Linked DNA regions of Callithrix jacchus. The protein of the gene in region 1 interacts with the protein of each later gene in a biochemical or structural test. Links are inferred from orthologs where the notes say so. Each region holds a gene or a part of one and is shown in the gene's direction. Other genes may lie near its edges.

Region 1 (4,944 bases):
CGAAGGTACCGGAAAGTCTTTGAAGATAGTGTACGCATCATGGACAGAATGGAAAATGACTTCCTTCCGTCCTTAGAACTCAGCAGGAGGGAGGTGAGCAAAAATACATGATCTCCCTGTCTACTGCCCACTGTGGTTAGCACAGAAGAAACTGCTACTTAGAAAAGGCAACATAGCAAAGTGGTTAAGCCCATGTTGCTGGCATCAAACTGTCTCCATTCCAGTCCTAGCACTGCCATTTATTAGATGTATGACCTCAGACAAGTGTCTTATGCGCTCAGAGCTGCAGTTTCCTTTTCTGGATTAAGGGGTAGTTGTAAGGATTATATGAATTAATACATGGGAAGCTCTCAGCACAGCACCTGGCACGTAGTAAGTCCTCTGTTGTTAGCTGCTCTTGTTTAATGTTTCAGACTTGCTAGTTAATTCATATCTCAGAAACCATGACTTGGTCACAGGATGAATGCTCTGAACCAAGGTTGGGTTACCCTCTTAGGATCCTAGGAATGATCAGAGTAGCCTGGAGAAGTAGCAAGAGCCACCTAACTCCTTCTCTGCTGGTGTGAGTATAATAATATATGCAAGTGGATGCTGTGAAGTTGGTGTAGTTGGTGAATGTCTATGGCATCTGCACACCTGTTTAACAATTACCTTATTCCTCATATCCTCCATGGAATAATCCAACTGACTTACTTCCCCTACTAGTGATGCATGTTTGTGTCTGTCTGTTATTCCCCAGTTTGTGTTTGAAAATGTGAAGTTTCGGCAACTACAAAAGGAGAAGTTCCAGATCAGCAACAATGGACAGGTTCCCTGCCATTTTTCTTTCATCCCTAAACTTAATGACAGCCAGTACTGCAAGCCATGGCTTCGGGCTGAACCCTTTGAGGGCTACTTGGAGCCAAGTGAGTTTTCCCTTTACCGTTGTCTCTGCTTGATGTCCTCATGACTCCCATCCTTGGTATAACTTCCTGTTTTCTAACCACATGTCTCTTACCTTTACTGTCATATTGGTTATACCTCTATTGTGTGTCCTATCTTTTCCCCATCATTGCTTAATGATTTTTTTAGAGGACACTTTTCTGTTGGTTCTTATACTCTTTTTGCTTTCCCATTGGAAGTTTTTCTATTACCATGTATCATCTCTTACATTTCAGATGAGACAGTGGACATTTCTCTTGATGTGTATGTCAGCAAAGACTCTGTAACCATCTTGAACTCAGGGGAAGATAAGATTGAAGATATTCTTGTCCTTCACCTGGATCGAGGCAAAGATTACTTCTTGACCATCAGTGGAAATTACCTCCCAAGCTGTTTTGGTACATCTTTAGAGGCTTTGTGCCGCATGAAAAGACCAATCCGGGAAGTTCCAGTTACTAAACTCATAGACTTGGTAAGAACTGTCTCAAGATATACACCTCTTTTACATTTAATTTTCATAATACTTAAGTGATGTCTCTTTGTGCTTTCTGTCCTCTTTTGGCTGCAGGGAATGTCAAATGATAAGAATGTCACTCTATTCTAGCACTGTTTTTGATTAGGTTAAGCCTAAGGAAAGAGGGGGGATTAATCTGCAGTTGGCTCTTGTTGGGAGTACAATAGATAATACTAAGCTCACCAAATAAGATTAAAGACTCCCCTCTCAAAGGTAGAATGCTTATTTGTTAAGCTCTTCATATTCTTCAGTCACTTTTGTATAAATTAGCATGTACGTGAGGTATGCTAAGTGGGGCGGGCAGAATTATCCTCCCAGAGCATATGAGACAACTGAGGCACAGAGACATTGACTTGCCCAAAGTCGAATACCATCAGTTAGTAACAAATCCCAGATTTCCTGACTCCCAGCTTAGTATTCCTTACTAACACCACATTATATCTAATCAGAGTCAAACTTTGCTACTTATGGAAGCATAGAACTCTACCGGAACCCTGGAGTACCTAAATCAGAATCCCTGGGGAGCTGATTACAGGCATCTTCACGTCTGGCAATAGAATCAGAATCTCAGGATGTGGAGCTTACAAATCTGCATTTTATCCGCATTCCAGATACTTATATTGTACATTGAAATTTGATACTTATTTAATGTGACGTGCTTAAGAAAGGAAAGGAGGTTGATTTTCCCATCTCTCCCCAAGCCAAGCTATAATATTAATAATTTTATGAAGGAAGTACTTACTATCTTCAGTAACATAAATTGATTTAGTAATAAAGTTCATTGTGTTAAGAAATTTCCTTCTAAATGAAAATATTGTTGGATTGTATGCAGTTCTCTTTGGGCTACAAAAGTATATTCTTGGTCTTTTACCAAAGAAAATTAGGTGAGGTGACAGCATACATTGTTCTTACTGTTAGTATTCACATGGTCTTTAGGCCAGAGCCAGTGATTGTATCTATCTAGCAGGGAGGTCTAGACCAGTGAGCAGGCTTCTCTGGCTTGTCTGAGTCTGATCTGTTCTGTTGCCATGGAATTGTTTCAGCTGTGACTCAGATAGCAGATTAAAACACTGAGTCCAGCCCTGGCATTCTTTTTGGAATTATACTTATTTCCCCCGGGCCCTCATGACTGAGTATATTACCTCTGTTTGAGAGAGAACCATTTTTTTCAAAAATTCATATCTTACCATTCTGTTGTTTTTCATGATAATTGTTTCCCTCCTAACATTATATTTCTGTCTTTCATATTTTACTATTTCACCTTTTAAAATGCACTTTGGATGAAGTTATTTTTCCTTATTTCTCCTACCCCCTTTCCTTCATCTCAAACATCATTTCCCAGCTTTCTTTGTCCCAGCTTTTTCTTAAGAAAAATGTCAAATGTGCAGAAAAATGGAAAGAACAGTACAGCACACCCCCACATGCCTTCTGTATGTATAATACACACAGATTTTTTTGCTGTGTCATGAAAATTAAGTGGCAATATGTCACTTTACTACTAAACACTTCAGCCTGCATCTCTTAACAGAAAGGACAAACTTAAGCGCAATACCATTATTATGTATAAGAAAACTAATAGTAATCCATAGTATCATTTAACATTCGGTCCATATTCAGATTTCTTCAGTTGTCCCAAGAATTTCTGTTACACCTTTTTTTTTTTGAGACAGAGTTTCGCTCTTGTTACCCAGGCTGGAGTGCAATGGCCCGATCTCGGCTCACCGCAACCTCCGCCTCCTGGGTTCAGGCAATTCTCCTGCCTCAGCCTCCCGAGTAGCTGGGATTACAGGCACACGCCACCATGCCCAGCTAATTTTTTGTATTTCTGGTAGAGACGGGGTTTCACCATGTTGACCAGGATGGTCTTGATCTCTTGACCTCGTGATCCACCCGCCTCGGCCTCCCAAAGTGCTGGGATTACAGGCATGAGCCACTGCACCCGGCCAGTTACACCTTTTATTAAACCAAAATCCAGTCGGGTTCATGTAATATTTGGTGAGGTCTCTGAAGTCTCTATTGCAGTAGTACAGTTCCCACTTACTTTCTTTAGTGACACTGACTTTTTTAAGAGTCCAGTACAAATGTCCAGTCAAGTCTCCACCATTTCCTACATTCGTCTGGTTTCTTCTTTTTTTTTTCTTTTTAAACTTATCCCTTTTATACTCTCTTCTTCCCCCTTACCTCGTGTAAACTGGAACCTATCATTATTTTTGGTCAAAGTCAATGAAGGTATTAGAATATCTTTGCCATTAATATGAAAACCTTTGCAGTTTTTCATATTAATTCTGGGATTGGCCAGAAGAGGGTCAACTGGCATAAGGTTTTATGTAAAGTATAGTATCAGGTAATTCTACCATGTTTGCCCATGAAAAGAAAGTAACCAAAGTCATTAGAGGAATGAATGGCTCTTTGGGAAGCCTTTTTTTTTTTTTTTTTGAGATGGAGTCTCGCTCTGTCACCCAGGCTGGAGTGCAGTGGTGCTATCTCAGCTGACTGCAACCTCTGCCTCCCGGGTTCAAGTGATTCTCCTTCCTCAGCCTCCCAAGTAGCTGAGATTACAGGCACCTGATAACTTTCCTGGCTAATTTTTTTATATTTTTAGTGAGGCGGGGTTTCACCATCTTGGTCAGGCTGGTCTTGAACTCCTGACCTCAGGTGATCCGCCCGCGTCGGCCTCCCCTGGATTACAGGCATGAGCCACCGTGCCCGGCGGGAAGCCTTTTTCCTTTTTGTGTACGAGTGATGCAGGGTTAAAATAATAGAACACTGGTCATTTTTAATTATATAATTTCTGAGTTTTTATTAAATTGTATGTCATTTTTCTTTTAAAGCTTTTATTTTGTAGGATTTAGGGTTCTGATTTCTTTTCACAGTCTGTTGCATTTCAGTGTTATTAAATTTCTGTATCTCATTGATGAGGAAATTGTCTATACAGGTTGATTATCCATTATCCAAAATGCTTGGGACCAAAAGTGTTTCAGATTTCAAATGTATGCATTATATACTTACCAGTTCAGCTTCCCTAATCTGGAAATCTGAAATGCTCCAATGAGCATTTCCTTTGATCATCATGACAGTACTCAAAAAAGGTTAGAGTTCGGAGCATTTTGGATTTCCGGATTAGGGATACTCAACCTACATTAGTGTAGAAGAGTAAGCAAGAAATCTGAAGTAATTAGTACCCCATCTTTAATACCTTCCCACTGTTGTGACTTGATTTTAACCTTCAGAAATGATTCCTCAGGTATAATTTTCATGTTTTTCCCCCAAAACCCAATATCATATTTCAAATCTCATGAGATGATGCTATCAATAATGGTACCTGCCCTCTATTGTATTTGCTCTAAAATGTTGGTGAAGCCAGAAGTGAGTTTAATGTATGTGTTGTCTCTCTATGTCCTGTTTTAGAAAGATCCTTTTCCCACCAAATGCAGAGTGAAATAACTGACATAATTATTTTTCATCCTTCCTGCCCTTTTCATGACAGTGACTTTGCAACTCCTAGAATA
Region 2 (5,554 bases), on another chromosome or scaffold:
GCAGATCACTTGAGGCCAGAAGTTCGAGACCAGCCTGGCCAGTATGGTGAAACCCCCATCTCGACTAAAAATACAAATTAGGTGTGGTGGCAGGCACCTGTAATCCCAGCTCTTTTGGGAGGCTGAGGCAGGAGAATCTCTTGAATCCTGGAGACGAAGGTTGCAGTGAGCAAAATCACACCACTGCACTCCAGCCTGGGCGACAGAACAAGACCCTGTCTCAAAAATAAGTACATAAATAAAATGAGGATGATACCAAGAAAAAATAGACTATTCAGAGGTGGTCAAGACTTTCAAATCCCACAGAGGCTGAGGCCTGTGAAGTGGTCAGTGGCTCTTGTTGAAGCTTTTCTTAGCCAGAGCTATATTAGCAGAATGAGCTGAAGTGGAAGGGAGGAGGAAAGGCTGGGGCCATCCTTCTGCAGACCCTTAAGTGAGCCTCCAGGCCCTGGAGGCCCCAGAGTGACCTAAGAGAGACTGGGCCATCTCTAAGAAGCAGGAAGCCCTAGTGAGCAAATTGCAGCCTGGGAAGACTGGCACTCTGAATTCTGATACCAACTTCTACTTTTGAGTGGGGAGGGGGAAAAAGTCACTTAACCTCCTCTGGCTTCAGTTTTCTCACCATCAAATGGGAAAAAAACAGTATCATTTTGCTGGGCTGGTACTGGGATTAAAGTTTTTTAAGTCAGGGCTTTGCTCTGTCACCCAGGCTGGAGTGCAGTGGTGCAATCATGGCTCACTGCAGCCTTGACCTCCAAGGCTAAAGGGATCCTCCCACCTTAGCCTCCTGAGTAGTTGGGACTACAAGCATGCAATACCACACCTGGCTAATTTTTTTTAAGTTTTTTTGTTTTGTTTTTTTTTTTGAAAGAGTCTCGCTCTGTCACCCAAGCTGGAATGCAGTGGTCTCGAACTCCTGACCTCAAGTGATCTGCCTGCCTCAGCTCCCAAACTGCTGGGATTACAGGCATGAGCCACCAGACCCGGCTGCAAGCCCGATTTTCCTAATGTATCCCTCCTTTTCTTTTTTCGAGTGTCTCGCTCTGTCGCCCAGGCTGGAGTGCAGTGGGGCAATCAAGGCTAGTGGAGCCTCAATCTCCTGGCCTCAAGCGATCCTCCGCCTCGGCCTCCAGAAGCGCTATGATCACAGGCGGAAGCCACCGCGACGGTCTGTTTTTTCAATGTTGAGAGGACCACCAGACACAGAACCGCCGACCCTAGATAGGACCCAGCATCCTCACTGCCCTAACCCGCAAGGCTGGCCCGGACAACCCCTAAGGCGGCCGAGGGCGGGCCCTGAGGGGGACGGCGCGCGCCTTGGGGCACAGCTCGTGGCGGTGACGCCGCTCAGGTGGCGGAGAGCTTGGGTATCTCTAAGCAGGTTGCCAAGCCACAGCCGAGACCTCGGATCTCGCCTCGGGGGTCACTTTTCGATTATACAGCGCTTCCTCTCTCCTTCCTCCCTCGGCTCACGCTGCCCCGGCAGACCACAGACGTATAAAAAAGCTCTTCAGTCCTTTCCCGCGCTCGCTTCGGCGCCTACTGAGGCTGCGCGAATTGTGAGGGCGAGACCCAGAGATACCCTCCCCAACTATGCGCGTGCGCCCTCTGCTGGCGCCTAACGGACCTCCGGGTGCGCGTGCGCACGCACCCCAAGCCCCGCCCACAGACTGTCGGCGCGCGAGCCGTTGGCGCTGCTCGCTGCTTTCCCTCTCCCATTTTGGGGCGGGGCCGGGCCGCCGAGTCTGTGGTGGAGGCAGGGGCCACATAATGCCACGCCCCCGTCTCGTCCCCCTTTGAAGCCCCTCGACTCTTTACTGCTGGTCAATCAGAGCCCGTCCTCATATCAGTGCTGGCCAATGGGAGGTACGCTCGGGCTGCTTCCGGCTCCGCGCTACGCTCGCCCCCTCCCCAGGTCTCCCCGCGGCGGGCGGGACTCAGGGGCGAGTGTCGGCCGCGGTGACACGCTGCGGGCCTGGAGCCAATAAGGGGCGGGCTCGGCGCTGATGGACGGGGCTGGTGGCCAGTGGATAGGCGCTAGCTGCACTTCCTGTCGGGGAGAGAGTGTAATATGGCGAAGACCTACGATTACCTGTTCAAGCTGCTGCTGATCGGGGACTCGGGGGTGGGGAAGACCTGTGTCCTGTTCCGCTTCTCCGAGGACGCCTTCAACTCCACGTTTATCTCCACCATAGGTAGCGGGATCCGGGAGTGGCTAGGGGCGCCGGAGGCCCGGGCTGGGCGCGCCCCTGAGGGGCTGGGGCTGAGAAATCTACCCTGCTGGGCGGGCCGAGGGCTCTGAGAGGGTCGAAGGGAGAAGAGCAGCCGCCTGCACCGCCGTTTCGGGGTTCATGGGCCGTGGCGGGGGAGACCAGGTGCCCATTTTGCAGATGGGGTGACTGAGGCTCCCATCCTCAGCCCGCTCGTTAGGGAGTGTTATGTCCTGGGCAGGCGTCTTCGCACCCGTCCTTTCGGTCTGTCCTAGCAGCAGCCCTCGAAGCGGTTCTTTTGCGGTTCCTGTCTTACAGAGGTGGAAACTGAGTCATGAGGAATTGGCTGTGGGAAAAAGACGGTGACATGTCGCCTTAATGAGCAATTGCTATGTGCCAAGTCCTTCACGTGCATTTCCACACTCTAGTTTCGGTGTTTTAAGTGCTGTTATGAGCCCGTCTCACAGATGAGTAATTTGAGGCTCAGGGAGGGCGTGGGACTTATCCAAGGCCACACAGTCTGCAGGTGGTGAGAATGGGATTTAATGGAATTTAATCCTGGCTGTGTCTCACCCCAAAACTCGAGGCTTAGCTCTTCTAGAGAGTTAGCACCACACACCCCTGGCTGATGACAAACTCAGTTAATGCACCTTGGAGCCGGGACTCTAACTCACACCATTCCTCCTCTTCTCTGGAGCATCCAGAGGTTGAGTCCCTCTCCTTGCCATGTTTTCCCCCATAAGTGTATTTTCCTCTAGAAGAAATGATAAGAGGAGTCAGGACCTTTTCCCTGCCTGCCTTTTATCCTGCTCCAGGATGACAGCAATGGCAAGTGACAGTGCTGCCTGCCCTGGGACCTGTCATCCCCAAGAAGATGCAAGATAAAACCCTCAATGAGAAACTAAATCAGCCACTGCCACAGACAGCCTTGACTTCCCTATCAAAGGGCCCAGGACACCGGTTGTCAATTTAGAACAGCTTTTCCCGTAGGGCCAGCCCACATCGTGGTTGAACAAAATTGGCTTGTTGTGATGTCTCAGTTGTGATGTCCACAGAAGTAGAGTTGACCTCTCTCAGCGCCACAGAAGCAGTCCTGGCCCACGATGAAAAGGTTAGACCTGGGAGTAACACCGATCAGAGTGGCCTGTGAGCTCTGCAGCCCTGCTAGGGATGGGGATAGTGAGGGAACGGTCACTAAGTCAAGGAGTTTATTCAAAGTCAAGAAAACATAGAGAATGGCCTTTGCTTTATGTGTGACTTCAACAGAATCGTGTTATCTCCCTAAATCTCATGATAATGTGCCAATTCCATTCTTGCCCCCCTCGAGGAGCTGCACTTTATGAAACAGTTATATGCCAGATGTAAAGTAGAGAGAATTAACTGGAAATCATCATGTCTGGTTCCTAGTTGCTGCTGGCCCTTGAACGTGCACTACCCCTCTCTGACCCCTGCTGTCTTCAGAGCAGGAGTGACGCTGTCTGCCTGGGCTAGTGCCCTGGTGGTTGAGGACTAGAATTAGACAATAAGGGGTTGTCATCACAACCAGAGGCCATCTAGAGAAAACAAATGAATGGCTCCTGTGGTGACAGCTTCCACCCTCTGAAGACAGATGTTTCTGAATTCTTCCCCCTCCCCCACTCCAAGGCCAAGCTTTAGGGTAACCCTTGTGCCCCAGCCAATCAAAAAGTGGCTTTAATTCAGCCTGGACGACAGGGCAAAACCCCATCTCTGCAAAAAATCAAATGAAATTAGCTAGGCATAGTGGCTCACCCATGTAGACCCAGCCACTTAGGAGGCTTAGGTGGGAGGGTGGATTGAGCGCAGGAGGTCAAGGTGCGGTGAGCTCTGATGGCGCCACTGCACTCCAGCCTGGGCAACAGAGCGAGACCCTGTCTCAAAAAAAAAGAATACAACTGTGGGCAGACTGTGGCTTGCATTTACCCAGTTCCCAGTTTCCTAGCCTCAGCACCTTCCCCTCAAACCCCCTCTTTAGAGTTACTTTAAAGCTTTAAAGAGGCCATCTTCCATTTGCAGATGAGGATATGACTTGGTGAAAGTTAACCTAGCAAGGTGACCCCAAGATCCCTCCCTCCCACCCCAGCGTTCCGCTCCTTCCATTTGTAGCCTTCTGTCTTCTAGGAAAGTCTAATTCACCGTGACCTTGAAGTTCAGGCCTCATAATTCTTAGGTCTCATAAAGTTTGCACTTCCTAATTAAATTTGGCGTGTTAATAAAACCCAGCAGGAGTGTAGGGCAGAGCGCTACTGTGGAGCTTAGCCAACCTAACAGTGCTCCTTGATTTTGTGTGTCCCTGTGCACGCATGGCAGGAGGTGGGGTATGCTTTAGGAAGCCTAGGCACACTGGGCTGTCTAATCCTGAAGCAGAATCTCTCAATGCTTAAAGACAATTCCATAAATTAGCCAGACGTGGTGGCACTTGCCTATAGTCCCAGCTACTCGTGAGGCTGAGGCAGGAGAATCGCTTGAACCCAGGGGGCAGAAGTTGCAGTGAGCCGAGATTGTGCCACTGCACTCCAGCCTGGGCAACAGAGCGAGACTGTCTCAAAAAAAAAAAAAAAAAGCGATTCCGTGTTGGCTGAGGGCACCTCTGGGTTTTCTTTATAGACCAAGGATTGAGTGGCTGTTCATTTTCTGCCACTCAGTCCTTAACATTTTGCCAAAAGTAACATATCGCCAAAATCTATTCTCAGAAGCCCCATCGATCATTTTGTGGTGTGAACTTGGCCCTGTGGCTCCCTGGAATGGGTTCTCACCAGCCTGGCTGAGTGCCACTGACTCCTCAGGGGCCCATTCATTCCTCCAGTGACAGGGTTGGCGTGTGAGAAAGTGCTTTGTGAACCGCTCAGCACCGCATAGACCCTGTTGCGCTTTATTTCTTTGATCCGGCCATATTTTGCCAAGGCCTCTGTGGGCCAGGCAGCCGCTTTGGCACGAGGGCTGCAGAGAGGACCGAGTGAGTCAAGGTGCACGCAGGACTGTGCTACCAGCTTCTAGCAAATGCATATTGAGTCACTGGGAGGGAAAAGCAGTGGATGAGACCATCAAGTCCCTGCCTCCAGGGAGCTTATGTTTGAGAGGGCGAAATTCCAGTGCTGAGGCTGGCTGGATGGAATTAGCATCCCCACCCTGGGTTCAGAGAGGTCCAGCCAGGCCTGGGCCTCAAGTCTTCCCCGGCAGGGATTTGAAGAAACTCCTAGTGGCAAAGGCTGAGTCTGGCTGTTCCTCGTCCACCCGGGTCATTAGGATCTGCAAGCATTACACCCAGGTCCATGCAGCTGGTGACACAAATATAGGTCGGATAAGTTAATAAATAGGTAAGAGCA
Region 3 (4,944 bases), on another chromosome or scaffold:
GTCTTAATGTATTTGTTGCAATTTCTTTGTATTTTATTTGACATTTTTGTACATGTATTATAGAAAAGATTGGTGATCTTTTGTGGTATCTTTAACTGGCTTGAGAATTGGATCATATTTTCTTTAAGACAACATCACTAATATAGTTGGCTCTGTGAATTTGTAAGTTCCACATTTATGGATGTAACCAACTGCAGGTTGAAAATATTAAAGGGCAAAAAATTCACTTAGCTCCAAAAAGCAAAAATTAAATTTGCCACACACTGAATACTATGTTGAATCCATGTGGATGAAGTGATGCTAGGTATTATGTTAGGTGTTATAAGTAATCTAGAGATGCTTTAAAGTATACAGGAGGATGTGCTTAGGTATATGCAAATACTTTGCAATTTTATATCAGGGACTTGAGCATCCTCAGATTTTGTTACCCGTCGGGGGATTCTAGAACCAGTCCTTCATGATACCTGGGGAGGTCTTGGAAATAGTCCTCCACTGATTCTGAGAGACAACTATGGTTATTTCCCTGAGCCTGAAGTTTACTTATGGATGTATAAATGAATGTTTTTACTACTAGTATACTGTGTGGTCATAGCATGTCTAAAAATGAAAACAGTCTGTATATTTTAATTTTCTTTTCCAAGTTTGCATCAAACTATACTTGAAAAAAGGCTTATGTATTGTGATTTATTTTCCTCTTTTCCTTTTTGATAAGAAGTACTGTCTTAGGGGCTTAATTTTAGTTTTAAAAAATTTTTCGATCCTACAGGAGAACTTCTCATGACCTTGAAAAAGTGACACAGTGTTCTCTGGGTATCCTTTACCATAAATGCAGTTTATTATAAAATGGATAATTCTGCTAATTGTTAGTTAAAAAAAAGTTTGAACTGGATTAGAATATATTTACAGTATGATTAGTGAAAATTCATAAATTAGAATTTAGGTGAAAGTAAAGACATTTACAGTATTGTTTGCAAAATTCAGAAGATTTTAGTTGTACTAAAGCCAGCAACCAGTTAACCTGAAAGAACATGAAAAGTAAATGTTAAGTCTAATATAAAAGAGCTATATCTCATTAGATTTCATTTTTTAGCACATTTGATACTAGTTAGTAAATCTCTATCAACATCACTAGATAAACTGCTGTAATTTAGAGAAATATATCGTAATTCTTTTGCATAATATGACAGTTTTAGAAAATTGAAATTCAAGTCCATACCATTTTGGGAATAGGGTTTGAATATCACACCTTGAGGTAAACATAGAAGGAAGGGAGGAGCATACCAATTAACAGTGAATGCTAAGAGCAGCAGCAGAGGGAAGTCTAAGCGGGGTACAGTGTGACATTTTGATACTAGAGTAATAGAGGAGAGGGATTGTTGCTATCAGCCATGCTGGCAAAAATGGCTCTGTGTGGGCCTTTTAATTTTAACAATAAAGTACTATTTAATAATGCTACTTTCTTATTGTTAGAATCAGGAAAAATACAGATCCAGAAATTCTTATGGTAGGGAGTGAAAGAGGTAGAAGCAAATATTGAATCAACTGAACAAATTAAATCTAGGTTAAGGTAATAATGACTACCAGAAAATGTCTCTCAGAAAAAAAAAAAAGAAAAAATATATATATGTAAATAAATATTAATTTGATGATAATGGACTGGGACTAAATTACCAATGTGTGCCAATAAAAACTAGTAAAATGGAACAGGACATGGTATTGGCAATGTAGATGGTAGTTAGAAGCATACTGGGTTTCCCCCCATTTTTTAAGACTATCAGTGCATTTCTTTAATTGTGAAGCAATTTAGAAATGTAGTCTTGGCTGGGCATGGTGGCTCATGCCTGTCATCCCAGCACTTTGGGAGGCAAAGGTGTGCAGAATACCTGAGGTCGGGAGTTCGAGACCGGCCTGGCCAACATGGGGATATCCTGTCTCTACTAAAAATAGAAAAATTAGCCAGGTGTGGTGGTGAACGCCTGTAGTCCCAGCTACTCAGGTGGCTGAGGCAGGAAAATTACTTGAACCTGGGAGGCAGAGGTTGCAGTGAGCCAAGATCACTCGAGCCTGGGTGACAAAGTAAGACTTTGTCTTCAAAAATTAAAAAAAAGAAATGTTAATCTTAAGCTTATTTAATTATTATTATAACAAACTTTTTTAACATGCAGAAACTTTTCAATCTGATTTCACTACAAAGGCCTTATATGTAAGCATATATGTAAATAGCTTAGAAGCATACATTTGTCAGTATTTAAAGCCATTATCAACTGCAGTCTAAGTTTCTAGGTGTTTGTTTTTTTTTTGGTTTGTGTTTTGTTCTTTGGGTTTTTTTTATTAAACCCTCATTTATTACTTTCCACTGACACGTAATAGTTGTACGTGTTTGTGGGGTACAGTGTGACATTTTGATACATGTATACAACCAGGTGTTTTCTATATTGTGAAAACATTTGGAGAAAAATGATTAACTTATTGCAGTCCTTTTCTTTCAGCTGCTTTTCTAACCCAAACTGTATGTCTTGATGACACTACAGTAAAGTTTGAAATATGGGATACAGCTGGTCAAGAACGATACCATAGCCTAGCACCAATGTACTACAGAGGAGCACAAGCAGCCATAGTTGTATATGATATCACAAATGAGGTAAGTACGGATGCATTCCACAGTGAAACTAACCTTTCTGCTGAAGCTTTTGTGACTTAGAAAATCTGGTTTAAAAATAAATAAAATGAAAATATCTCATAGTACAGTAGTCCTAATAATTTCTTTTCCACAGTCGCTTTGGACAGTCTTTTAAAGCCTTGTATCACAAAGATGTTTCCTAACCATTTTTTGAGCCTATGTCAAATAGTTGTTTCTTTGTTTAACAGGAGTCCTTTGCAAGAGCAAAAAATTGGGTTAAAGAACTTCAGAGGCAAGCAAGTCCCAACATTGTAATAGCTTTATCAGGAAACAAGGCTGACCTAGCAAATAAAAGAGCAGTAGATTTCCAGGTATGTTAAATTTAATTTTCATTTGAAAGGCACTTTTCTTCCTGTAAGTTTTTCTTTTGTGTCAACACTTGAATTAGTTTTAATGTTACAGCCATCAAAGTAATAGAAAATACAGATTTTTTAAAACAAATATGAAGTACTACATGTAGTAAAACACTTCTTCTGATAAACCTAAATTTGTAAATATATTATTGTAATATATAAACTGATTCAAAGATTTTGTAGACTTAAACAGTAAAGGCTAAGTGTGGTGGCTCATGTCTGTAATCCCAGCACTTTGGGAGGCCAAGGCAGGTGGATCACCTGAGGTTGGGAGTGAGAGACCAGCCTGATAAACATGGAGAAACCCTGTCTCTACTAAAAATACAAAATTAGCCAGTTGTGGTGGTGCATGCCTGTAATCCCAACTACTCGGGAGGCTGAGGCAGGGGAATAGCTTGAACCCAGGAGGCAGAGGTTATGGTGAGCCGAGTTCACGCCATCATATTTCAGCCTAGGCAACAAGAGTGAAACTCTGTCTTAAAAAACAAACAAACAATAAAAGTAGTCATTGTTCCCAGTGCAGAAAGTGATTGTATCCTGCTCTAATTCCTCTGTCCCACACATACTTTATGTCCTTCCTAATCCTCTTTTACTCATCTTCAAGTATGTGTCAGCACACGTGTGTACCCACACATATACATGCCCACACACTTGTGTGGTTGTTTTTAAAGGGGCATTGAAAAATAAAGGCTCTGCCAGTCTACATCTGGAGTTGAAAATAAAAAACTAAAAAATAACTTAAAAAAATTTTTTAAGGTTCAAAAAATTCAATATGTGTCTTATAATTGCTAATTCAGAATGTTTGCTGCCACAAAATAGAGCAAGTGCAATCACTTAAAAACAAAGCAAGTCCTCTACTTAGACCTTTTAAAACTGCGCCTGTTCTCTTGCTCTTTGGCTTCTCTACTAGAAGGGTGGTTGTCCTACTGTGTATATATCCGTGATGGAATACCTGTATTCTTGCATCATTAGGTACTAAGCTGAGCATGTCACACTTGTAATTTTATTTAATTCTTATGAAAATGATGTGAGGTATAGTATCATCTATTACTCTTTCCAAAATTGTTCCCTCCCCAGCACAAGAGTGATAAAGAAAACACTTACGTTACAGTCAGAAGTGGCCCGGTCACATAATAGTTCAGAGTAACCTCAGTTGTTTCTTTGTCCAGTGGGAAAGATAATTGGTTACCCCTCACAACAGCTATGAGGATCAAAAATAATAATAATATATGTAAACTGTAAAAGCATGACAAAAATGTAGGGCAGTGATACAATTTTCAAAGGAAGGATACATGATATATTCAGGATTATAATGTTGCTGTAGAAGTCATTGAAAATTAAATATGAGGTTGTTATTTAATGGTTGAAGCCAGTGTTAGATACTTGGTTTCCCTTTGTCTTCATTGCAGATAATAAGTGGAAATAAAAAGATTGCCATTGAGATCAAAGAGAGTTTTATTTAGAATAAGATAATTCTCCCCCATCTCTGGAACTCAGTATTTGAAAGCAGATTTAATGTAAGAACAGATTAATCAAGGTGGGATAATGCCAGAAGTTCAGACAAAAAAAGAAATCGTCCATTATAAAATTATTTTGCACAGTACTCTTATTGTTGTACTTATTACACAGTTGTTGATTATAGATGATTATAGTAGACAATCAGGTTGGAGTAGTAATAAGTCTCCTTTTCTGTAACAAATATAAAGCAGGTGTAGTGTATTTCCAAGAGATATATCTCATTTTTTGTTCTATAAACAGGAAGCGCAGTCCTATGCAGATGACAATAGTTTATTATTCATGGAGACATCAGCTAAAACATCAATGAATGTAAATGAAATATTCATGGCAATAGGTAAGATTAATCTCTCTTTTAAAATGATCAATATAAGTAAAAGTAAGTGTGCAGCATGT
Region 4 (4,944 bases), on another chromosome or scaffold:
TATTTAGAGATGTGTATGTTAAAAATATGAAAAATACGGCCTGTGTCATCCGCCATTTTGTGAGAAGCAAGGTGGCCTCCACGTTTCCTGAGCGTCTTCTTCACTTCTGCCTCCACCGCCCCTTGACCACAGACATGTCTCGGGATCGGTTCCAGAGTCACGGCGGTGGTGGTGGTGGTTTCCACAGGCGCTGAGGAGGCGACGGCCGCGGAGGCCTCCACAACTTCTGTTCCCCGCCGCCCAGCATGGGCTTCAATCAGAACCGCGGCCCCATGGGTCCTGGCCCGGGCCAGAGCGGCCCCAAGCCTCCGATCCCACCACCGCCTCCACACCAACAGCAGCAGCAACCGCCACAGCAGCAGCAGCAGCCGCTGCCACCGCCGCAGGACTCTTGCAAGCCCATTGTTGCTCAGGTACCCGGTCCTGCTCCCGGAGTAGGCAGCGCGCCGCCAGCCTCCAGCTCGGCCCCGCCCACCACTCCGCTGACCTCGGGGACCCAGCCAGGGTCCGGGCCAGGCCCGACCCGGACCCCGCTGACCGCGGTCACCTCGGCCCCTCCCCGGACGCCGCCACCCACCCCGCCAAGCACTGGGGTCCCTACCACGCCTCCTCAGGCAGGAGGCTCGCCGCCTCCTCCCGCGACGGGCCGGGCCCAGGTCCGGGGACTAAGCAGGGCCCAGGCCCGGGCGGTCCCAAAGGCGGCAAAATGCCTGGTGGGCCAAAGCCAGGTGGCGGTCCGGGCCTAAGCACTCCTGGAGGCCACCTGAAGCCGCCGCAACGAGGCGGCGGTGAGCGTCGCGGGGGCCACCAGCACCACCCGCCCTACCACCAGCAGCACTACCAGTGGCCCCCCGCCCGTTGGGCCCAGCGGCCGCAGCAAGGAGAAAATCTCGGACTCGGAGGGGTTTTAAAGCCAACTTCTCTCTCTTGAGGAGGCCTGGAGAGAAAACTTACACACAGTGATGTCGGTTATTTGTTGGGAATCTACCTGCTGATATCACGGAAGATGAATTCAGAAGACTATTTGTTAAATATGGAGAACCTGGAAAAGATTTAATCAACAAAGGCAAAGGATTCGGATTTATTAAGCCTGAATCCAGAGCTTTGGCTGAAATTGCCAAAGCTGAGCTCGATGATACGCCCATGAGAGGTAGACAGCTTCGAGTTCGCTTTGCCACACATGCTGCTGCCCTTTTTGTTCATAATCTTTCACCTTACGTTTCCAGTGAACTGTTGGAAGAAGCCTTCAGCCAGTTTGGTCCTATTGAAAGGGCTGTTGTAATAGTGGATGATCGTGGAAGATCTACAGGGAAAGGCATTGTTGAATTTGCTTCTAAACCAGCAGCAAGAAAGGCATTTGAACGATGCAGTGAAGATGTTTTCTTGCTGACAACAACTCCTCGTCCAGTCATCGTGGAACCACTTGAACAGCTAGCTGATGAAGATGGTCTTCCTGAAAAACTTGCGCAGAAGAATCCGATGTATCAAAAGGAGAAACTCCTCGTTTTGCCCAGCATGGCACATTTGAGTACGAATATTCTCAGCGATGGAAGTCGTTGGATGAAATGGAAAAACAGCAAAGAGAACAAATGAAAAAAATATGAAGGATGCAAAAGACAAATTGGAAAGTGAAATGGAAGATGCCTATCATGAACATAGGCAAATCTTTTGCACCAAGATCTGATGAGACAACAGGAAGAATTAAGACGCATGGAAGAACTTCATAATCAAGAAATGCAGAAACGTAAAGAAATGCAATTGAGGCAAGAGGAGGAACTACATAGAAGAGAGGAAGAGATGATGATTCGTCAGCGTGAGATGAAAGAACAAATGAGGCGCCAAAGAGAGGAAAGTTATAGCCGAATGGGCTACATGGATCCAAGAGAAAGAGACATGAGAATGGGTGGCGGAGGAGCAATGAACATGGGAGATCCCTATGGTTCAGGAGGCCAGAAATTTCCACCTCTAGGTGGTGGTGGTGGCATAGGTTATGAAGCTAATCCTGGAGTTCCACCAGCAACCATGAGTGGTTCCATGATAGGAAGTGACATGCGTACTGAGCACTTTGGGCAAGGAGGTGCGGGGCCTGTGGGTGGACAGGGTCCTAGAGGAATGGGGCCTGGAACTCCAGCAGGATATGGTAGAGGGAGAGAAGAGTACGAAGGCCCAAACAGAAAAACCCCGATTTTAGATGTGATATCTAGGCTTTCATTCCAGTTTGTTTTGTCTTTTGTTTAGATACCAATCTTTTAAATTCTGACATTTTAGTAAGAAAGCTATCTTTTTATGGATGTTAGTAGTTTATTGACCTAATATTTGTAAATGGTCTGTTTGGGCAGGTAAAATTATGTAATGCAGTTGTTTGAAACAGGATAATTTTTTTTCTTACTTCCTTATTTTTTCTTTTTTTACTGTATAATGTCCTTCAAGTTATGGCAGTGTACCTTGTGCCACTGAATTTCCAAAGTGTACCAATTTTTCTTTTTTTACTGTGCTTCAAATAAATAGAAAAATAGTTATTAAAAAAAAAAAAATACATGGGGGTGATAAAACAGGATAGTGGTTGCTCCTAAGTGTGGGGAGAGGGAAGAGATGCATACCGGAAGTGTGAGTCTTCCAATTCAGAGTTCTTCATATTGTTTATGTTATTGTTTTTCAAAAGTTCGTAAAAATAAAGGTCTATCTGTTTGATTCTATTCTGCTAGTATGTAATATCTTGAAATATTTTAGTTGTTTTTATCAGAACTCAAAGTAACTATGTTCTCTAGAAGACAAAATTTGTTCTTAAAGCATTTATAGTGTCCAAATAAATTCTCAGGTAAAGAAAGAGTTTGTGCATAATTTTGTCTACATACTTTCCATAGTATCTTTAAACAATTTCTTTTATCTCTTTTTTTGCAGATTGTAGATGTCTTTATGGAATACAATCTAATTCAGCAATGTACCGCATTCTTGCTTGATGCACTGAAGAATAATCGCCCATCTGAAGGTCCTTTACAGACGCGGTTACTTGAGATGAACCTTATGCATGCGCCTCAAGTATGTGTTCTAATGTTTTTTAGGCATGTTTCCAATATTGCTTTAATAATTGTGCAGAGCATCTCAGATTGTTATTCAAAGCTACTGAGATGCCTACTCCTTATACAAGAAAATTTAGCTATTATATATTCTTTTGTACTTTCTTTTATCAGTTCACTATTAAACCTTAATATGTAATATGGATATTGAATTACTCATATAAATGGGATGGACAATAAACTTACCTTATTTGTGGTTTTACAGGTTGCAGATGCTATTCTAGGCAATCAGATGTTCACGCATTATGACCGGGCTCATATCGCTCAGCTGTGTGAAAAGGCTGGCTTACTGCAGCGTGCATTAGAACACTTCACTGATTTATATGATATAAAACGTGCAGTGGTTCACACCCATCTTCTTAACCCTGAGGTATTTTAGTTTCTTACCTAATAGATGGTGTTAGTTGTGATTAATAGGCACACTGAAAATGTGTTTGTAGTACTAAATATTAATAATTTCATACCTCCATGAGTTTCAACATTGTTTCATTTATTCATTCATTCATTTATTTTGTCTTGTAGTGGTTAGTGAATTACTTTGGTTCCTTATCAGTAGAAGACTCTCTAGAATGTCTCAGAGCCATGCTGTCTGCCAATATTCGTCAGAATCTGCAGATCTGTGTTCAGGTGGCTTCTAAATATCATGAACAACTGTCAACTCAGTCTCTGATTGAACTTTTTGAATCTTTCAAGAGTTTTGAAGGTAATTAGGAGTTTTTGAGTTTGTAAAAAGTACTTAAGATAGCCAAGAAGAGGTATGCTTATGATCAGGCTATTGGAAATTTTGTCTTTCTAAAAATTTGGTTCTATGGGACATTTTAATTTTTTAAGTTTTGTTATTCAGTAAATGTTGCCAGGCGTGGTGTCTCATGCCTGTAATCCCAGCACTTTGGGAGGCCGAGGTAGGCAGATCACAAGGTCAGGAGATCGAGACCATCCTGGCCAACATGGTGAAACCCCATCTCTACTAAAAATATAAAAATTAGCTGGGCGTGGTGGTACGTGCCTATAATCCCAGCTACTCTGGAGGCTGAGGCAGGAGAGTTGCTTGAACCTGGGAGTCGGAGGTTGCAGTGAGCCAAGATTGCGCCACTGCATTCCAGCCTAGCGACGGAGTGAGACTCTGTTTCAGGGAAAAATAATAATAATAATAATAATGTCATCAAGGCCCTTTTATATTGGATCCTAAGGATATGCAGTGAACAAGACCATCTGTTTGGATATTTTATAGATGAATTAAAGGTAGAATTTTAAGAGAAAAATATGTAGTGATGTTTAAATTGTAAAAAGTGAAAATACAGGTTGAGTGTCCCTAATCTGAAAATCCAAAATGCATCAAAGTTCAAAACTTTTTGAGTTCAAAGGAAATGCTTGTTGGAGCATTTCAGAAATTGGATTTTCAGATTAGAGATGTTGATCAGGTAAACATAATGTGAATATTCCAAAGTTCAAAAATCTGAAACATGTCTGGTCCCAAGCATTTGGATAAGGGATACTCAATCTGTACTAATGATCAGGTTTAATAACATTTTATGCTTATATATCTGAGTCTTATAATGGCAGGTGATTCTAGCCAAGGGCATTTTGTGGTTTGTCATTAGCAGGATTTCTCAACCTTAGAACTAAGTAGACATTTAAGGCTAAACAATCATTGTAGAGAGGTATTCCCATACTTGTAGAATATTTAGCAGCATTCCTGGTTTCTGCCCACTAGAAACTGAGCCCATCAGCTCCAGTTGTGACAACCAAAAATGTCTTCAGACATTGTCAAATGTCACCTGTGAGGAAAATCACCTCAGTTGAGAACCACTGCTGTACAGGGTACTAACATAATCACTGTTGGGTGACTAAGTTCTGGTCCCCAGTT
Region 5 (4,944 bases), on another chromosome or scaffold:
GTGTTGACAAGGAGGAAAATTTATTATTTAATATGAACCCTGGGGCTGGGCTCGGTGGCTCACACTTGTAATCCCAGCACTTTGGGAGGCCAAGGCGGGTGGATCACCTGAGGTCAGGAGTTGGAGACCAGCATGGCCAATATAGTGAAACTCTGTATCTAATAAAAATGCAAAAACTATCCGCGTGTTGTGGCGCATGCTTGTAATCCTGGGTATTCGGGATCTTGAGGCCCGAGAATCGCTTGAACCCAGGAGGTGGAGGTTGCAGTGAGCCAAGATCATGCTACTGCACTCTATCCTGGGTGACAAGAGTGAAACTCTGTCTCAAAGAAAATAAAAGAAAGTAAGTAATAATATGAGCACTGAAAAAATTAGAGGGGGAAGGAATTTAGGGATCCTATAGGGATGATGTAGGATAAATATTTTATATTTAATTTGGGATTGAATAAAGTCTGTTCACTTTGGCCTAAAACCTTTCATTGTTCTTAAACAGTTTCATTCGTTGGCTCCCATGTACTATCGAGGCTCGGCTGCTGCTGTTATTGTGTATGATATTACGAAGCAGGTAAGAATGTCTCCTTCAGAATTTAGATGCCATTTATGGCAGGTGTCTCACTTAGAGAGACTGAAGCAGAGATGTCACTGCTTGCATCTTGCCAGCAGCCTGCCACTATATATTGAGTTTATTTCATGTATATGTAACAAAACATCCCACATTATCTGCTAAATTAAACAACAGTGACCATTCATTCTTAAAACTGACTGTAGAGGCAAAGTCATGTCTGCTGGTACTATTTTGCAGAATGTCAACTTTTTAAGAAAAGGAAAATTGTTTTTAATTTCTGCATGCTTTATAATTATGGAATACTTATTTTTGTTAGTGTTTCAGTCATACTACATACTTAAAATACCAAGCATAACGTTTATGTGTATATAAGTTAATATGTGTGTGTTCATATAATATAAATGTATTTTTATTTATCATGTTGAAGGTCTTAGACTTCCATCAACAAGTAACTGCAGTGGTTTGATGACATTTTTTCTGACTCCTGCAACTTAAATTATTTACTTTTTTCCTCTGGAGTGTTGCCTCAGCACCTACGACTGTTAGTTTAATGACCTATCACTGTTATCTTCCACGAATTCCTGACCTCTTCTACCTAAATGTGGCGTGTTGTCCTCCACCTGTTTTCTAGAGGACGATTGTGAGTGAAGGCTCAACGGGAAGACAGGACTCTAAATATATGTTTATTTCTAGGTGTAAGTAAGCATGAGCATTTACTTAGTCCTGTTATTCTTACTCATGTGCGGAGTCCAGGCTATCATTTTAAATTGATTTTGCTATATAAATTTATAGGAGAAAATCAAGGATACAGTTTTCCTAACTAGATCGAGTTTTAATTTTGGAAAACTTTATATGGTCAATTTAAGTGTATTTCAGCTAACATTAACTTTTGTGCCTAGCCAGAGGTAGTGTGTTAATCTGCATGAGTCTCCTAAAAATATTTTTCTCCATTAAATGGTACTGGGTTTGTATTTCTACTTGGTTGAAATATTATATTGAGGGGTCTTTCCAATGATGTGTATATACTGTTGTTTTAGGATTCATTTTATACCTTGAAGAAATGGGTCAAGGAGCTGAAAGAACATGGTCCGGAAAACATCGTAATGGCCATCGCCGGAAACAAGTGCGACCTCTCGGATATTAGGTAACATGCATTTAAATCTCTTTTGTGGAGATTTTATCCTCCATCTCTGAATGTCATCCTTGAGTGTACAAAGGTGTCACGCCTTTGTTATGTCTGCCCTCGGTGTAATAACTTAATTAATGGCCTTTCACATGTGGTAGACAATATGGCATTGATTTAACCAGTGAAGAAATAAGAGAATATGCTAGGGAAATGCAAATCTGATGTACCCTACAGTGATAAATATTAAAATCATAACTCCTGTACATAACACAGTTACATCCCTGACTCTACATATCTTTGGGCTAGATGGTTTATTATTTCTGTTGTTACTTTTTCCATTGTTATTATCATTATTACTGCTAGCACAATTTTAGCAACACTTTTCTATGGTAATCACCATTAGAATTCTTAATATTTTTCATAGTATACCTGTTTGTTTTAGTTCTAGATTTTATCTTAAGGGTATAGTCAAGTACATAATATCACCATTTTGTTCTAAAATCAGAATACGACACATTGTATGTGAGTACCTTGACTTCCCCCACAGTGTTGGGTTATTGAACTTGCTATAATCTGGAAAGAAGTTGTGAATCCAGTACACATGAATTAGAGATTTGATGATAGCTTTACCGAGCCTGGTAAGCTAGGTATTTTGCTAAATAAATACATTATTTTAAAAAAGGAAATAGTAAAATTGTGGTGTCTCCATTCCTTTGGTTAATTTAATTCTCGGGAATTCTAGTAGTTGATTTTCATAAAGACAACTACATCATGCTTCTCGTTTTGCAAATCAAAATGTGATTAAACCAAAGTGAAATAAATAGTGGAAATGGAGCTTGCAAAAGCTCTTAACATAGCATTTAACAAATTGTTCGTTTCTTTGGGATTTCAGAAGCTTTATATCACATTGCATCTGGTTGGTTTATAATAACAGCCATAAACAACACCTAATCGTTTGTTTTTCTGGTATTTGGACAAGTCTTTAAACTTCCCAGACTTAGTTCAGCTATCCACCTTCTTTACTGTAATCCTCAAACAACTTGCTTGTCTAGTGTTCCCAGCAGAATCACCTTAACCTTTGTCTTGGGGAGGGCAGGATAAGTGGGTAGAGACGACTTTGCTGTTGGTACTATCTCTAACATCTCCTGATTATGGGACTGATGTGCACCTTTAAGTGGAACCAAGTCCTGTGTATTGTGGGAATGCTGATGGACTAGAATTTAAGCAGAAAACGATTTAAACTTGAATAGTATCAGTTAGGATTCTTGGTTACATGGAACCAAAACACAATTCAGGAGAAAGGGGAATTTATTGGAAGGTACTGGCATCCACATGGTAAAAACAGAACTGCCTTGAGCTCTGGCATTTGACCTATTCCAGAGTTAGTCTCTGGAGAGATACTGGCCTGGCATTCTCTTCATTTCCAGTCTAAAATGCCAGAGAGGAATTCCCCACATTAAGAACAGGCGTATACGTCCAAGAGGGAATTGGGTAATACGAGACGATATTTCCCAGCGTTACTATGAGAATGGGAAGGCGGGTGGTCTTGAAGAGGGGCAATTCCTAGATAAGTGAGTCTGGCGAGACAAACATATCCGTGACACACTGGTGTGGCTACCAGCACCCAAAGATACTCTGTGTTTCAGGGTGGAATTCGCCTTTTATGTACAGGTACAGCATTCTTCCTGATGGCCATTCTGATTTGTGCTCAGCTGATTCTAATATGTGCAGTTTTCAAAGTGCCGCAGCTAACATAATCTATTCATCTCACTTCCAACCATGAATTTACTTGCAGCTTCTCTATCCTCAGTGGGAGAAAATGCAGGGCCATTTTCTCACTGCTTCCTCTAGTGGTGGTGTCATGGGGCCACTGTCCCATGCATCCTGCCTCCCTCGTAGTATCTTTTCGCCTCTTGTTTGGCCTCAGAGAGGTCTGAATGTGGCTCCTCAAGATCCCACAATTGTGTTTTAAAGTGTGGCATGTATATCTTTTGTTATATACAGTTATTTTAGATGGTACTTGTTATTTAATCAGGCAACAAGAAGCTGACTGACTTCAAGCCTCTGATTAGGTCAACTAGAAAGACTAGTTGAACATGAAGTAATTTTTAAGTTTTTAAACATTTAATATGTTGTATTGAGGTAAATTACAAAACATCACATTCACCTGTTTTAAATGTACAGTTCAATGAATGTTAGTATATTTTTAGAGTTGTACACTCATCTCATATCTAATTTTAGAACATTTCCATCACTCTGTGAAGAACGTCATGCCCATTTATAGTCACTCTAAATTTCCAGCTCCTTCTAGCCCTGGTAATCACTAATCTACCTTTTCGTTCCCCTCAATTTGGACATTTTTCTGAACATTTTGCATAAATGGAATCACATAATATGTGGTCTTTTGTGACCACCTTCTTTCAGCTAACAAAATGTGTTTGAGGTAGCATGTGTCAGTCATGCACTCATTTTTATGGCTGAATAATATTTCATTGTATAGATATACCACATTTACCATGTGTGCATTTATTCATGCACACATTAACATTTGAATTGTTTCTACTTTTTTGCTATTATGAAAAATGTTGCTATGAACAATTATGTACAAATTTTGTGTGCATGTATGTTTTCATCTCTCTAGGATATGTACCTAGGAGTGGAATTTCTGTGTCATATGATAGCTCTGTTTAATAATTTGAGGAACTCAAAAACTGTTTTCCAAGGTAACTTGGAAAGATACTCCGAGATATCCACAACCTCACACTTATTACCTGTCTTTTTGATTATAGACATCCTAGTGGGTATGAGATTGTGTCATTGTGGTTTTCCTAATGACTAATGATGTTATAATAGATATATTTTCACATGTTTATTGGCCTTTTATATATCTTCTTTGGAGAAACATCTCTTCAAATTCTTTGCCTAAATTTTAGTTGGATTATTTGTCTTTTTATTATTGAATTATAAGGGTTCTTTATGTATTCTGAATAAAAGTTTCTTATCAAACACATAATTTGCAAATATTTTCTTTCATTCTGTGGGTTGTCTTTTCACAATTTTTACTGTGTGCAGAAGTTTATGTCCAGTTTATCATGTTTTTCTTTTATCTCTTGTGCCCAAGTGATTGGCTAATTGAACATCACAAATATTTATGAATGTTTTCTTAGTGCTTACATTTAGGTCTGTCATCCAAATTGTTACTTTTTGTATGTAATGTAAGATAGAAGTTCAAACTGATCTTTTTCCATGTGGA
Region 6 (4,944 bases), on another chromosome or scaffold:
CAGCCTCCTGATTATGGGATTACAGGCGTGTGCCACTAATTTTTTGTATTTTTAGTAGAGATGAGGTTTCACCATGTTGGCCAGGCTGGTCTTGAACTCCTAACCACATGATCCACCCACTGTGGCCTCCCAAAGTGCTGGGATTACAAGCATGAGCTACCTGCCAGCTCAACCCTAACTCTTTACATGAAAGATAGGAATGCTACTATACATTTTGTTAAATGAATGATCTGCTATTTTTTCTGCGTTTCTGTAATCCTTTATTACTCAAATGACATTTTTGCAGCTTATTTGTTAATAGCTATTTGTTCATGTCTTATCAGTTAAAAAGCAGGAATCATGTCCTTTATATTTCTTAGTAGTTGTCATACTAGTTTTTATTTAATATTTATAGGATGAATAGACATTTGTTTGTTTGTTTGTTTGTTTTTGAGACAGAGTCTCGCCCTGTTGCCCGGGCTGGAGTGCAGTGGCATGATCTTGGCTCACTGCAGCCTCCACCTGGGCTGAAGCAGTCCTCCAGGCTCAGCCTCTCCATTAGTTAAGACTACAGACGTGCACTACCATGCCTGGCTAATTTTTGTGGTTTTTATAGAGACAGGGTTTCACCGTGTTACCCAGGCTGGTCTCAAACTCCTGACCTCAAGTGATCCGCCCACCTTGGGCAGATCCCAAAGTGCTGGGATTACAGGTGTGAGCCATTGCGCCCAGCATTAGACAGCTCACTGTACAGTGATCATAAACCCCAATACCCTTTGCTAAATGTTGCCTCTCAATTACCACTTTTCCCTCTTCCCACAGCTCTTTCGACGTGTAGCAGCAGCTTTGCCTGGAATGGAAAGCACACAGGACAGAAGCAGAGAAGACAGTATCCTTGTTTAATCAGAAATTTTTCATTGTTAACATTAGTCTTTAAAGTCCTGCTTGCTTGGCTAAAGAATATTATGCCATTGCCTTTTACAAACCAGGAACTGATGGCTTAGGGGCATAATTCAGAGGTTTTCTATAGCAAATGGGGTCAATGGGGTCTGGTTATCCAAGTGTACACTTTGTAGCCTGCTACTCATTGTTAATCAGTGAGAGGCTAATGTGTGTTTGCTTGCTTTTTAATGAGCAGGAAACTCTCAGAATGCCTGTCTCCTTGTCTCTTCATTTTGAGTCCCATTGACTCTGGGCTTTTTCCTCGTAGAATATCATATTTTCATTTCTTTCTTTTTCTAACACTTGAGCTTTCTACTTCACACAGGCAAGAAATAGAGTGGAGCTTTATTGTAGCCTCTGTTTTCAGAAACAGGACATAATATTAGTTCATTTCCAAGGATTAGAACATCTAACATTAGTTAATACTAAGGATTTTTAATTTGTTGTGTTCCATGTTTCATATTTACTTTCTAGTGTTTTTCCATATGCAGGCATTTTTACTAAGCCATATAGTTCATAGCACTTTGTATTCAGCTCTTCCCTCTTGTAAATGTTTTATGTTCTCATAAAAAACATAATTGTTTTAAAAAAACATAATATGTTCTTCATATCATATGCTTTGTAATATGTATCATGTTTCAAAACATAATATGTTAACTACTGAGTTGAAGTTTGTCCCGCATGCCCTTTTTTTTTTTTTTTTTTTTGAGACAGTGTCTCATTCTGTCGCCCAGGCTGGAGTGGTGCAATCTCGGCTCTCTGCTCTGCAACCTCTGCCTCCCAGGTTCAAGTGATTCTCCTGCCTCAGCCTCCCAAGTAGTTAGGACTACAGGCACAAGCCACTATGCCCAGCTAATTTTTGTATTTTTAGTAGAGATGGGATTTCACCATGTTGGCCAGGCTGGTCTCGAACTACTGACCTCAGATGACTCAACTGCCTCAGCCTTCCAAAGTTATGGGATTAGAGGTATGAGCCACTGTGCCCGGCCTGAAAGTCCCATTATTTATTAAATGTTTCCCCTGCTGTTGGAACTGTCTTACAGGCTATTTTTAGATTTATATTATATATAATTCTATGAGGAACATCATCTTCATGTCACTTCTTGCTCCTATAGAATAAGTTCCTTAGGATAGATACCCATAAATAGAGCTTGTACCTCATTCTGATCCTTGTTGTGTATAGTAGATACAAGCAAGTTTATTCCATTTGAGCACCTTATATGGTGAGGTGGCTATGTAGAAAATAGTGATTGTGTAGGCTCTGAAGTCAAATAGGAATATAAGGGCCATCCCAGAAATCCTAGTGTTTGGAAGAATTGAAACTGTACTTTCCCATTTGTGGCTCCTTAACTTTTGTTTCAGTGATTGACATAAAACTGGAAAAGCCTCAGGAGCAACCAGTCAGTGAAGGCGGCTGCTCCTGCTAATCTCCCATGTCATCTTCAACCCTTCTTCAGAAGCTCACTGCTTTGGCCCCCTTACTCTTTCATTGACTGCAGTGTGAATATTGGCTTGAACCTTTTCCCTTCAGTAATAATGTATTGCAATTCATCATTGCTGCCTGTCTCGTGGAGATGATCTTTTAGCTTCACAAGCACAAAAAAAAGTCAGTGTCTTCATTATTTCTATTTTACAAAAAGCCAAAATATTACAACATATTCCAGTGATAACTTTAAAAATTAGATACATTTTCTTAACATTTTTTCCTTTTTTTTAATGTTATGATAATGTACTTCGAAATGATGGAAATCTCAACAGTAGGAGTATGGCTTGGTTAATAAGCAGTATATTCACAGCTTACTTGATCTCTCCTTGCTTTTCTTATGTCTCTCTTACCTCCTTTCCCTGTATCTTACCTAGCCTCCCCCACTTCTTCAAAACAAATGAGATGGCAAAGCAGCAGTCAGACCAAGCCCATTGGAATTATCCTTTAATTTTACAGATACCACTTCCTGTAGGCCATGGGCCAAAATGTCCAAAATTATTCTTGAGCACTGATATGAATTACTTAGATCTTCTTTGGGATCAGAATTCAACTATCATGGTAGGCAGTGCTTGAATGAGAAAAGGGTCCTGGTGCATCTTCAAAATGAGTCCTAAAGAACATACTGAGTACTTGTAAGTAGAAGAACATAAAATGTATTTCTGACTAAAACAAATGGCCCTTTCACATGTGCTTTATTAGACCCTGGGAGAGAAAATTAACCAAGTGCTTCAGAACAGGTTTTTAGTATTCTTCATGGTAAAATAATGAAGTTCTAATGAACTGTTTCTCCCAAGGTTTTAAAATGTTAGGAGTTATTCTGTTTGTTTAAAAAATAATAACAAACCTCTTTAAGCAATAGATTTTGCTTGGGTTTTCTTTATAAAAAAAAAAATACTATGTAGGCAAGGCACTGTAAAAGTTCAGTTCCTTTCAGAAGAACCAGTGGAAGAATTTAAATTTGGCACTATGATCAAAACTACTAAATTAGTAGAACTAATGGTATCTAAAGCTTACCAACAAAAGAACCCTCAGGAGAATAGCAAAAACTTTGCTCAGGACATTTGAGGTCAAAATGAAGACGGAAGCCGTTTTCTTATAAGCCCCTAGAGGCAGATCAGGTAAAGCATGCATAGTAGAGGGAAAGGAGAGAATGGAAATAAAACTCAATGTTATGCAGATTTATGCCTTATTTTTTAGCATTTTTTAATGTTGGGTCTTTCAAGCTGGTTTTGGTTTGTATTAGATCTGTATAGTTTAATTAACTAGTGATTTAGTTTTATATTTAAGCTACAATTAATCTTTTTTCTTTGGTGATATTTATTTCTTTGCCTTTTTTTTTTTTAACAACTTTCAATTTTTAGATGTTTTGTTGAATCTATTTAGAGCTTCACCATGGCAATATGTATTTCCCTTAAAACACTGCAAACAAATATACTAGGAGTGTGCCCTTTTAATCTTTACTAGTTATTGTGAGATTGCTGTGTAAGCTAATAAACACATTTGTAAATACATTGTTTGCAGGAAGAAAACTTCTGAGTTACAGCTCAGGAAAAGCCTGCTGAATTTACGTTGTAAGCATTACTTAACACAGTATAAAGATAAAAAGACAACAAAAATACCTTCATACTTCCTTATTCCCTCACTGCAACAAAACCTTAAACTGGGAGAACCTTAGTCCCCTCTCTTTCCTCTTCCTCCTCCACTTCCCACTTATTGTCACCTTGTAATATTCAAAGAGCACTTGGATTATGGATCTGAATAGAGAAATGCTTACAGATAATCATTAGCCCACATACCAGTAACTTATACTTAAAGATGGGATGGAGTTGTAAAGTGCTTTTATAATACAATATAATTGTTAAAAGCAAGGGTTGACTCTGTTTTATTTTGACATGGCATGTCCTGAAATAAATATTGATTCAATATGGCAGATGGGTCATATTCTTTATTTGGAAGAAGTTGTGACTTCTGACACAGGGGTGATTGTCTTCCTACACTGTTGCGTTTGATTCTTTTTATGTATTTTTAAGAAAATAACCAGTTATGCTGCTTTTAACATTGGTCTTTTTATTTGGCTTGGAGTTCTTCAAAGTGTGTTCATAGTCCAGATTTTTTTTAATAAACACATTTTTGCTGCCAAAAATATATAAATAAAACACAAAAGAAAACAATTATTGACTTGGTTTCCCATTCCTACCAAGATGGTTAATTAGCATATGCTTCTCCCTCCCTAGACCTGTACCAGATATGGATGGAATCCAGAAAAATAACAAAAAATGTGAGGAACTCCTGGGGAGTCAGAAGACTCTTTTTTTGATGGGGGTATTGTTGGAGGGTTAGGGGAGAGGGGCTGCAACTTTAAATATGTAGCCCTGGTGGAGGCAGTAATAGGACATATTAAGAAAAGTATGTTAAGTTCTGCTTTTGCCTCCTTACTCTTAATTATACCTTTGCCTTGGGACAGAAGCCAGCAAACTGTGTCCTTCCCACCAAATCCAGCCTGGTACCAGTTTTAAAAATTAAGTTTTATTGGAACT

Evidence for each region.
Region 2: the proteins of OCRL (region 1) and RAB8A form a complex in vitro, tested with the Homo sapiens proteins (2 studies listed by BioGRID and IntAct, with this or other methods). The link is inferred for Callithrix jacchus from reciprocal best matches to the Homo sapiens genes OCRL and RAB8A.
Region 3: the proteins of OCRL (region 1) and RAB5A form a complex in vitro, tested with the Homo sapiens proteins (2 studies listed by BioGRID and IntAct, with this or other methods). The link is inferred for Callithrix jacchus from reciprocal best matches to the Homo sapiens genes OCRL and RAB5A.
Region 4: the proteins of OCRL (region 1) and CLTC form a complex in vitro, tested with the Homo sapiens proteins (2 studies listed by BioGRID and IntAct, with this or other methods). The link is inferred for Callithrix jacchus from reciprocal best matches to the Homo sapiens genes OCRL and CLTC.
Region 5: the proteins of OCRL (region 1) and RAB31 form a complex in vitro, tested with the Homo sapiens proteins (2 studies listed by BioGRID and IntAct, with this or other methods). The link is inferred for Callithrix jacchus from reciprocal best matches to the Homo sapiens genes OCRL and RAB31.
Region 6: the proteins of OCRL (region 1) and RAB6A form a complex in vitro, tested with the Homo sapiens proteins (2 studies listed by BioGRID and IntAct, with this or other methods). The link is inferred for Callithrix jacchus from reciprocal best matches to the Homo sapiens genes OCRL and RAB6A.

Annotation. Positions count from the first base shown.
Region 1 is NC_133524.1:125,242,750-125,247,693, forward strand, and holds part of OCRL (inositol polyphosphate 5-phosphatase OCRL), read left to right. Parts: coding exon 1-93; intron 94-739; coding exon 740-905; intron 906-1,157; coding exon 1,158-1,393; intron 1,394-4,944. UniProt on the Homo sapiens protein: Catalyzes the hydrolysis of the 5-position phosphate of phosphatidylinositol 4,5-bisphosphate (PtdIns(4,5)P2) and phosphatidylinositol-3,4,5-bisphosphate (PtdIns(3,4,5)P3), with the greatest catalytic activity towards PtdIns(4,5)P2.
Region 2 is NC_133523.1:14,725,835-14,731,388, forward strand, and holds the start of RAB8A (ras-related protein Rab-8A), read left to right. Parts: upstream 1-2,057; 5' UTR 2,058-2,071; coding exon 2,072-2,195; intron 2,196-5,554. UniProt on the Homo sapiens protein: The small GTPases Rab are key regulators of intracellular membrane trafficking, from the formation of transport vesicles to their fusion with membranes.
Region 3 is NC_133518.1:58,488,944-58,493,887, forward strand, and holds part of RAB5A (ras-related protein Rab-5A), read left to right. Parts: intron 1-895; exon of another isoform or gene 896-996; coding exon of another isoform or gene 997-1,018; intron 1,019-2,489; coding exon 2,490-2,641; intron 2,642-2,868; coding exon 2,869-2,991; intron 2,992-4,137; coding exon of another isoform or gene 4,138-4,234; intron 4,235-4,791; coding exon 4,792-4,885; intron 4,886-4,944. UniProt on the Homo sapiens protein: The small GTPases Rab are key regulators of intracellular membrane trafficking, from the formation of transport vesicles to their fusion with membranes.
Region 4 is NC_133506.1:94,240,265-94,245,208, forward strand, and holds part of CLTC (clathrin heavy chain 1), read left to right. Parts: exon of another isoform or gene 1-2,532; intron 2,533-2,901; coding exon 2,902-3,039; intron 3,040-3,282; coding exon 3,283-3,447; intron 3,448-3,599; coding exon 3,600-3,780; intron 3,781-4,944. UniProt on the Homo sapiens protein: Clathrin is the major protein of the polyhedral coat of coated pits and vesicles. Two different adapter protein complexes link the clathrin lattice either to the plasma membrane or to the trans-Golgi network.
Region 5 is NC_133514.1:53,105,685-53,110,628, reverse strand, and holds part of RAB31 (ras-related protein Rab-31), read left to right. Parts: intron 1-493; coding exon 494-565; intron 566-1,602; coding exon 1,603-1,709; intron 1,710-4,944. UniProt on the Homo sapiens protein: The small GTPases Rab are key regulators of intracellular membrane trafficking, from the formation of transport vesicles to their fusion with membranes.
Region 6 is NC_133511.1:67,303,298-67,308,241, forward strand, and holds the end of RAB6A (ras-related protein Rab-6A), read left to right. Parts: intron 1-801; coding exon 802-868; intron 869-2,283; coding exon 2,284-2,348; 3' UTR 2,349-4,337; downstream 4,338-4,944. UniProt on the Homo sapiens protein: The small GTPases Rab are key regulators of intracellular membrane trafficking, from the formation of transport vesicles to their fusion with membranes.